Macaca mulatta: one gene and its partner. The protein of the gene in region 2 binds, or shares a complex with, the protein of the main gene of each other region. Links are inferred from orthologs where the notes say so. Each region holds a gene or a part of one and is shown on either strand. Other genes may lie near its edges. The genes, in order: RAP1B and RASIP1.

Region 1 (3,807 bases), on a different chromosome or scaffold from region 2:
CAGAGGCAGGTAGAATAAGTTTTGGTCTTTTTATTTTTATTTGTTTTCAGACAGGGTCTCACTCTGTTGCCCAGGCTAAGGGGTCAGGTGATCTCAGCCTCCTGAATGCTTGGGACTACAGGCATGTGCCTTCATGCCAGGCTAATTTTTATAAAGTTTTTTGTAGAGATGGTGTCTTGCTGTATTGCTCAGGCTGGTCTTAAACTCCTGGCCTCAAGTAATCCACCTTTGCCTCCCAAAGTGCTGGAATTACAGGCATAAATCACCATGCCTGGCTTGCTTTTTCTTCTTACATATAGTCTTACCCTATACATTTTATGTTAGAAAATATCAAAGCTTATAAAAAGTCTTCTTCAAATATTACGTTTGACTGTCCAGTTTTACATTATTATTTTAATGGCCATGTTTTCTGCATCAAGGAATGGTGTAGCAAGAATAACTCGGTAATGAGGGTTGGGAAAGGGGAAAAACGTAGGGAAAATAATTTGATGAATAGTTCAGAGCTTAGCAAAGCCTCACAAGCAAATAGATTGACCTTCTGCCTCACTCATAAGATAAACCATCTTGGCCACTTAGAAAGGCCACCTAGCTGAGAATTGACATGCTTGGAACAAACGGAGAAGTATATATGATGTGAAATGAACTGCTTTTTCAATTTGTATCCAAAGTGATGGGGAGGTCAGTTGATTGTGCATGTATGTGTGTATACATAACATAAAATTAGTCAATTTCTAATTTAAAATTCAAATTTAAGCTCTTAAGACTGAAACAACACCGGCACGGTGGCTCACACCTATAATCCCAACACTTTCGGAGGCCGAGGCGGGCAGATCACCTGAGGTCAGGAGTTCTAAAGCAGCCTGGCCAATATAGTGAAACCCCATCTCTACTAAAAATACAAAAATTAGCCAGATGTGGTGGTGCATGCCTATAATCCCAGCTACTTGGGAGGCTGATGTGGGAGAATGGCCTGAACCCAGGAGGCGGAGGTTGCAGTGAGCCAAGATTGTGTCACTGCACTCCAGCGTGGAAGACAGAGCAAGACTCTGTCTCAAAGAAAAAAAATAAAAGAATAAAAGACTGAAACAAGAGACATTTAAAATTTTTAAATATATGATCTCTAAATTTAGAATTACCCAATAAGGAGCATAGTGATTATTTATTTAAAAATAGAAAACAGCTTTCTGAGGTAATTTTCTTACCAAATATATACATTCAAATGTAGTATTGGCTGTGGTTTTTTTCACCGATGGTGTAACTCCCTGTGTGAAATCAGTTTACAATTTAAAGATTGAATGTACTCTTTTCTTTAGAAGTATAATGGTTTCTTAATTTTTTTTTCAGACTGTACAGTTTGTTCAAGGAATTTTTGTAGAAAAATATGATCCTACGATAGAAGATTCTTATAGAAAGGTATATATTACTTTGGAAGGCCTTTTGCTTTTGATTTTAATATAAATATTTTAGCTGTATAATTACTGAATGTTTTGTATAAAGTAGGATGGAGGCAGAGTTAATTTATAAAATTAGTGGGAAAAGTTTATAATTACTTTCTGGCATTGCATATTTACCAGTTTAAGAGGATCATAAACCCTCATACTCTCACATATTCACAGAATTTTAAGTTTATCCTGACCCTGAAGTTGTAATTTGACACGCAAACTTTAAAGCATGCCATCCATTTCAAGTAGTAGCCCCATGTTACTTCCTATCCCCTACCTAGCAAGACTGATTACTCTCAAGCTCCCTTCTTTTTAACCTAGAAATTGGTGGACACAAGTCTTCCTAAGCTTTCTACTTACTAACCTCTTGAGAAAGTGCCACCACTCACAATATGGGTTGAATATCCCTTATCCAAAATACCTGGGACCAGAAGTGTTTTCAGATTTCAGATTATTTTCTGATTTTAAAATATTTGTATATACATAATGAAATAGAATGGGACCCATGTCTAAACAATTCATGGTTTCATATACACCTTATACACATAATCTTATGTAATATTTTTAATATTCTTACACATGAAGCAAAGTTTTGGCTGCATTTTGACTGTGACTGGTCACATGAGCTCATGTGTGGAATTTTCCACTTGTAGCATGATGTTCCACACATGGCTCAAAAAGTTTTGGATTTGGAACATTGCAATTTTTGAATTTTTAGATTAGGAATGCTCAGCCTATAGTAAGGTGAATTCCTGTGACCACTAACATTATGTGACAATAAAACAATGTGTAGACATTTTTAACATAGTAGGGAAAGAGGTATTTCCCAGCTTTTATGAAGCAACTAACCTGGCCCTGCTGTTGTACAAATACTGTGTTTCCGTTCCTCCCTCCATGTCCACAGTCTACCAAAAAAACTGGAAACTTTTTTGCACCCCAGCTATGAGACAGTAATACTCTTTTCTTTCTATATCTAATTCTAAATACCTATTTTTTCCTAGGAAATATTAGATGGAAAGGGGTAACAGGGATATATGTGCAAGTTATTTAATAGCTGTGGCTCTGCTTCCTTAATACCAGAAATCTTGTTCCAGTATGGTGAGGGCATATAGTTACCTAGAGAAATGAGGTATATCGAAAGTATCATGGGAGAATTGAGATAGATTACTTACGATATTGTTGGAACTATTGCTGGTTTTGTTTATTTATTTGAGCTATTTTGAAACTATTTTTTCTCTAGAATTAAGTGCTGAGAGATCATACTGAGACTGGATCTTGTAGGTTTCCCTCTGTTGACTTGAGAACACATGGCTTTTGAACCCGATTACAATTTGGGGGTCTTTGAATCTTGATTACTTAGCTATTTTTCCTCCTGCTTTGTTGAAGTATTGCTTGATAGTAGTTTGTAAAGTTGTTATAATCTGTGTATCTTATTTTTGATACATTAGCTTTTTTGTGTATATTAAGGTAGTCTTACATTTAAAAAATGAACATGTATTTTAATTTTTCTACCAGCAAGTTGAAGTAGATGCACAACAGTGTATGCTTGAAATCTTGGATACTGCAGGAACGGTAGGTAAAACTAAATATCAAAGTATATGCACCGTTTGTACAGTATTGACTTCATAAACGCTAGTACTCTATAGACAAATATTAGTTAAGCTTATTTAAAAGTACTGCTTGCAGCTGGTCGTAGTGGCTCACACCTCTGATCCCAGCACTTTGGGATGCCAAGGTTGCCAGATCACTTGAGGTCAGGAGTTCGAGACCAGCCTGGCCAACATGGCTAAACCCCGTCTTTACTAAAAATATAAAAATTAGCTGGGCATGGTAGAACATGCCTGTAATCCCAGCTACTCAGGAGGCTGAGGCAGGAGAATCTCTTGAACCTAGGAGACAGAGGTTGCAGTGAGCTAAGACTGTGGAGACTGTGCCACTACACTCCAGCCTGGGTGACAGAGCAAGACTGTGTCTCAAAAAAAAAATAAAGAGTACTGGTTGCTAAACTTTAAATCTTTTTGTTGTTGTTCTGTTGAATTCTTAGTTTTATATTGGCCGGGCGCAGTAGCTCACGCCTGTAATCCCAGCACTTTGGGAGGCCAAGGTGGGTGGATCACTTAAGGTGAGGAGTTCGAGACCAGCCTGGCCAACACAGTGAAACCCCATATCTACTAAAAATATAAAAAAATTAGCCGAGTGTGGTGGTACACACCTGTAATCCCAGTTACTCGGGAGGCTGAGGCAGGAGAATAGCTTGAACCCAGGAGGCGGAGGTTGCAGTAAGCCAAGATCGTGCCACTGCAGTCCAGCCTGGGCAACAAAGCAAGACTCCGTCTCAAAAACAAAACAAAAAAAAGTATATTGC
Region 2 (4,510 bases):
CATCGCTCCCGAGAACATTGTTCGGGCTTACTCCTCCGGCTCCTAGGTCTCTCCAACTCCTTTTTCTTTTTCTGGAGGACATTTTTTTTTTTTTTCGTTTTTTGTCTTTTTGAGGAAGTCTCGCTCTGTCCTCCAGGCTGTTGTACAGTGGCGCGATCTCGGCTCACTGCAGCCTCTGCCTCCCGGGTTCAAATGATTCTCATGTCTCAGCCTCCCGAGTAGCTGGGATTACAGGCATGCGCCACCACGCTTGGCTAAGTTTTGTATTTTTAGAAGAGACAGGGTTTCACCATGTTGGCCGGGCTGGTCTCGAACCCCCGACCTCAGGTGATCCCGCCCGCCTCAGCCTCTCAAAGTGCTAGGATTACAGGTGTGAGCCACCACGCCCGGCCAGGACTAGTTCTTTAATTCAAAAAGACCCTTGTCAATATTCAGTATCAAAACAGTTGCGCTATTGATTTCACTTTCTCCCAATTGGCCCCAAGAAACCACATCGAAGAAGAATACATTTTAAGCCACTAAGCTGCAGGATGTACACCTAACAGACCTCGCAGAAACCCTACCAGAAAGTGGGGATTGGGTAGAGAAAGAAACTTTCAAAGGTCAGCAAATTGTTAGTGTCCTCTAACCTACCACACAGGGCGAATCCCTCAGGTCCCTGCGGACTCCTGCCCATTCCACAAACTCTCCTCAGGATCTACTACTCCGCAGACCCCGCTACACACCCCACCTCCTCCAAGGCAGTCTGAAATACCTGCAGAAGGCCCTAACCCCAATTCGGAACCACTTCAGGCCACTCCAAGCCACCACCAGCAACCAGCCCCCGCCCCGCCTAAGCCCCAGCCTCGGCCCCCGTAAAACTCCTGCTCAATCAACAAGCCCCACCCAACTCTCAGGCCCGCCCATCTGGCCGCCCCCGGCCCTGCTCTAGCTCTGCCTTCCACCTGCTAGAGTCCTACACGCACCGTCCAGTCCCCTCCCGCGGGCTCCGCCCCCAGCCAGCCCGCGGGTCCCACAAGCCCCGCCCAGGCCCCGCCCCACGGACCCCGCCTCTCTGGCCCCGAGTGCCCGCCCCAGAGCCCCGCCCGCAGCTCACCTTCGCCATCTGCAGCCCCAAAGGCCTCCTGCTCCAGGCGCCGTGCCTCCTCGCGACCGCGCAGCTCGAAGCGCCGCGCCCAGCCGGGCCGCGCCCGCCACAGCTCCTGCACCAGCAGCGGGCGCTCTGAGTCGCCCAGCACGCGCAGGTGCTCCGCCCGCCACTCGCCGCTTCCCACGCCCGCCGCCGCGGGCCGGCCCAGTGCGTCGCACAGAGCGAAGGCGTCCACGCAGCTGCTCTCGCCCGGGCCGCCACCGGGGCTGCCGGCCAGGCCGTAGCGCTCTAGAGCCTCGGCCACGAGCTCGCGCGCCGTGGAGCGCGCCGTGGCCAGCACGCTCTTGTAGTTGGCGCCCGATGCCAGTCCGGCGCCGAAGATCTTGAGGACCCCCGGGGACGCGGAGGCGCGGGTGGCCAGCGGGGGCTCGGGGGCCACGCCCGCCGCCAGCTCCGGCAGCTTCTTCTCGCTGGCCCAGCGCTGCGCACCCCCCGGGGTCCCAGGGCCTCCCGCGCCGCCGGACCCCGAGGTCCCGGTCCCCGAGCCCCGGAAGAGCTGGGAGATGCGCTTGGCGCGACTACCGGAGGCTCCCCCGGCCGCCTTGACAGCGCCCACTCGCCGCAGCTCCACGTGCGGCGGGGGCGGAGGTAGCGGCTCGCTGCTACGGCTCCCCGTGTCCGACGAAGAAGACCTGGGAGTCCGCCGGGGAACAGAGTCGCGGGAGAGAGACCCGAACAACACGCCAAGACGGGGGTGGAGGACAGATTAGGAGGGAAGTGAGCAGAGACCCAGAGAGAGGACAGGGATCCAGGGTGGATGGACGGGGCGGGGGTGAGGGTTGGCACAGAGACGCGAGGCAAAGAGAGAGAAAATAAATAAATAAATAAATAAATAAATAAATAAAGGCAAGTCCCACAGAGGGAAATTCCAAGAGGTGAGCAGAGAGGGGAGGAAGGAAGGTGAATCAATCCCCCTGCTCTTTCTGTCCTCATCCCGGTGCCGATCTGGCCTCACTCCACCTCCTGCCTGGCCTAGCTCTTACTCCCACAGCGCCCTGGTATCGCTGCGCCCCACCGTCTCGCACTACCCACAAGCTCGCTTGCCCAATTCAGGATGAGGACCGGAGCCAACCCTTTGCAGGACTGGGCCGTGAACAGGGACAGATGGGAGGCAGGTGTGCAGGGCCAGGAGTCCTGCAGAGATGGCACTCACTTGACAGAGGCTGCGCTGGGCCAGCGCCGCCCCAGCTTCGCCAGCTGCTTCCTGGGGGAATTGATCCACAGGCCCACGGGGAGATGAAGCTTCCCGAAGCGGGGGCTTCCGCCCTCCTTCCGTTCACCAGATAGCATGGCCCTAAGGGAAGGCGAGGAAGGCCTCAACTCCTAAGGCACTCTTGTGGGAATGGGGTGGAGGGAACCTGGACTCCGAGTCAGAGGGAGGAGGGGACTGGGGCTCAGACTTGCGAGCCCAGAGGGAGGAGAGGGATGGTACCCTGGATTCCTGGGTCCTGGGATGGAAGATGGCTGGGGGACTGAGTCTTGGGTCCCAGGGAGGAGGGTTTGGGCCGCTGGGTCCCTGGCTCTTACCCTGCTTCGGGTCCGGCACACCCGGAGGCCCTGGCTCCACTGGCCTGGGTCAGTTCCACTGCTCTTGCCTCTGCCACGGCTCCCAGCACTGGGTGGGGGACAGGAAAAGGCAAGAGGAAACCCGGCAGGAAGAGCGGGGAGGGGGCGTCCTGTGAGGAGACCAGGCCTGGGGGAGGAGATCTGGGGAGGATTGGCCCTGCCCCATTCCTTGATTCTGGAATTACGTCGCAGCCAGATGGCCCCCTCCACGACCCAAGGGTCCTGGTTTCCCGCCCTTCTTCCCTCAGGCCGGAGCCCATCCCCAGACCTCTGCTCTCGGGGAACCAAAGGCTAGGATCAGCCCCGTCCAGGGGAGTGAGTCAGATGCTTAGACAACAAGATAAATCTTTATTGGTGCCTCGAATCTGTGGCTTTTTCTTTTGGGACCTGGGGTTGCTCGGCCACTCCACTGCCAAGGCCAAACAGTGAGGACTTGATGAAATCGATCACCTTCCTTCGACAAAATATCCTAGGGGTGGGAGTGGGGTGCAGATCATGGAACCGGGTTGGGTAGTAATTGTGTGGGGGACACCCCTCCCAACCACCCCCTGTGTGACTTTATTCTAGCAATTATCTAAGCCTCGCCCTTCGAAGTCCTCCTATGCAAGCCCCCCGCACTCCATCCCCAGGAAAGTCCTGCTCTCAGTCCTCAGTAGCCCCCAGCCCAGCTTCTGCGTTGGGTTCCTGGAAGCCCCGCCCGTTACTCCAAGCCTAGCCAGCCTTCTTCAACGGGTTGCTCACGCAAAGGTAATGCCGGTTATCAGTGCTAGGGAGCCCCAGATCAGCAGCCCCAGAAGGCGGCCTTTCAGCATTTTCTCGGGCTTCAGAGGCTGGAGGGTATTGGACGACTCCGTGGTCGCCTCCCCCGGGGTTACGATATTTGGGGACGGTTTTTCCTCCTCGACCCTTTTGGGCAACACTGTTAGAGAAAGTGTAAAGAGCAGTCCTGGCAGGGCGTGGAGTTCCTGCCCTGGCAAAGGCAAGCCCGTCCCGGTAGCCTGCCATCCCAGAGATAATCACGCCTTCAACAGTGTAAAGCCTGAACACACCCAAGGGAACGCCTGTCCTCGGGGTCAGAGGCCACGCCCCCGGCGGGAAGCCACACCCCTTGCCCCGAAACCACACCCAACAGGAAGCCACGCCCCCATCGCCGAGGCCACGCCCCCGACGCGGACCCCCAGCTTTCCTGGGCCCTGAATCCTACACTTCTCTCAACCCCACAGCACTGACCTGTGACGCGAAAATTGATGACCGTGGCTGGGCTGGAATTCACAGAGCCCAGCTCGCAGCGGTAGCTGCCTGCATCCTCTGGACCCACCATGGACTTGGTCAGGGTGGGCTCTTTCCCCTTGGACACCAAAGTCTCCGTATTGTTCCCCCAAACCTAGACCCAAGCTCAAGGGGTCACTGAGGCCTGAGGAATTCAGGGGTTGGGGGAGTACCGGGTTGAGAAGATCACAGGGCCTCAGTGTGGGAGGTGGGTGTCCAGGGTGTCACTGGTTGGGGCACGGGATCCCCAGTAGAGACCACACCTAATAGACCACCCGCCTGGGTCATGAGAATCGTGGGTGCAGGCCCACAGATCCAGTACACAAGTATTGTAGTCTAGGGAGTTCAAGGATTACAGAAGTTGAGGCCCTCACCCTGTAAAAGCTGTAATCAGTGAGGCCTTCAGAAGCCTGATGCCAGTTTAACTCACAGTCCAGGATCATATCTTCCATTTGAGGAACCTCCACATTGCGCTCTGGGGGTGGAGGAAGACCATGGGACACTCTTTCACGGTTCTGTTTGTTT

Evidence for each region.
Region 1: the proteins of RASIP1 (region 2) and RAP1B are in contact, whole or in part, in a crystal structure (PDB 5KHO), measured with the Homo sapiens proteins. The link is inferred for Macaca mulatta from reciprocal best matches to the Homo sapiens genes RASIP1 and RAP1B. Residues at the interface, in NP_060275.2 of Homo sapiens: Val147, Lys149, Ala156, Ser157, Gly158, Ala159, Asn160, Tyr161, Lys162, Ser163, Val164, Leu165, Glu181, Arg182; in NP_001010942.1 of Homo sapiens: Val24, Gln25, Asp33, Pro34, Thr35, Ile36, Glu37, Asp38, Ser39, Tyr40, Arg41, Glu54, Leu56, Phe64.

Annotation. Positions count from the first base shown.
Region 1 is NC_133416.1:75,769,949-75,773,755, forward strand, and holds part of RAP1B (ras-related protein Rap-1b), read left to right. Parts: intron 1-1,344; coding exon 1,345-1,413; intron 1,414-2,957; coding exon 2,958-3,014; intron 3,015-3,807. UniProt on the Homo sapiens protein: GTP-binding protein that possesses intrinsic GTPase activity. Contributes to the polarizing activity of KRIT1 and CDH5 in the establishment and maintenance of correct endothelial cell polarity and vascular lumen.
Region 2 is NC_133424.1:61,201,005-61,205,514, forward strand, and holds the start of RASIP1 (ras-interacting protein 1), read right to left. Parts: upstream 3,065-4,510; 5' UTR 2,977-3,064; coding exon 2,678-2,976; intron 2,445-2,677; coding exon 2,304-2,444; intron 1,783-2,303; coding exon 1,097-1,782; intron 1-1,096. Other genes in the region: IZUMO1 (izumo sperm-egg fusion protein 1 precursor), read right to left, coding at 3,065-3,185, 3,458-3,635, 3,947-4,100, 4,360-4,460. UniProt on the Homo sapiens protein: Required for the proper formation of vascular structures that develop via both vasculogenesis and angiogenesis.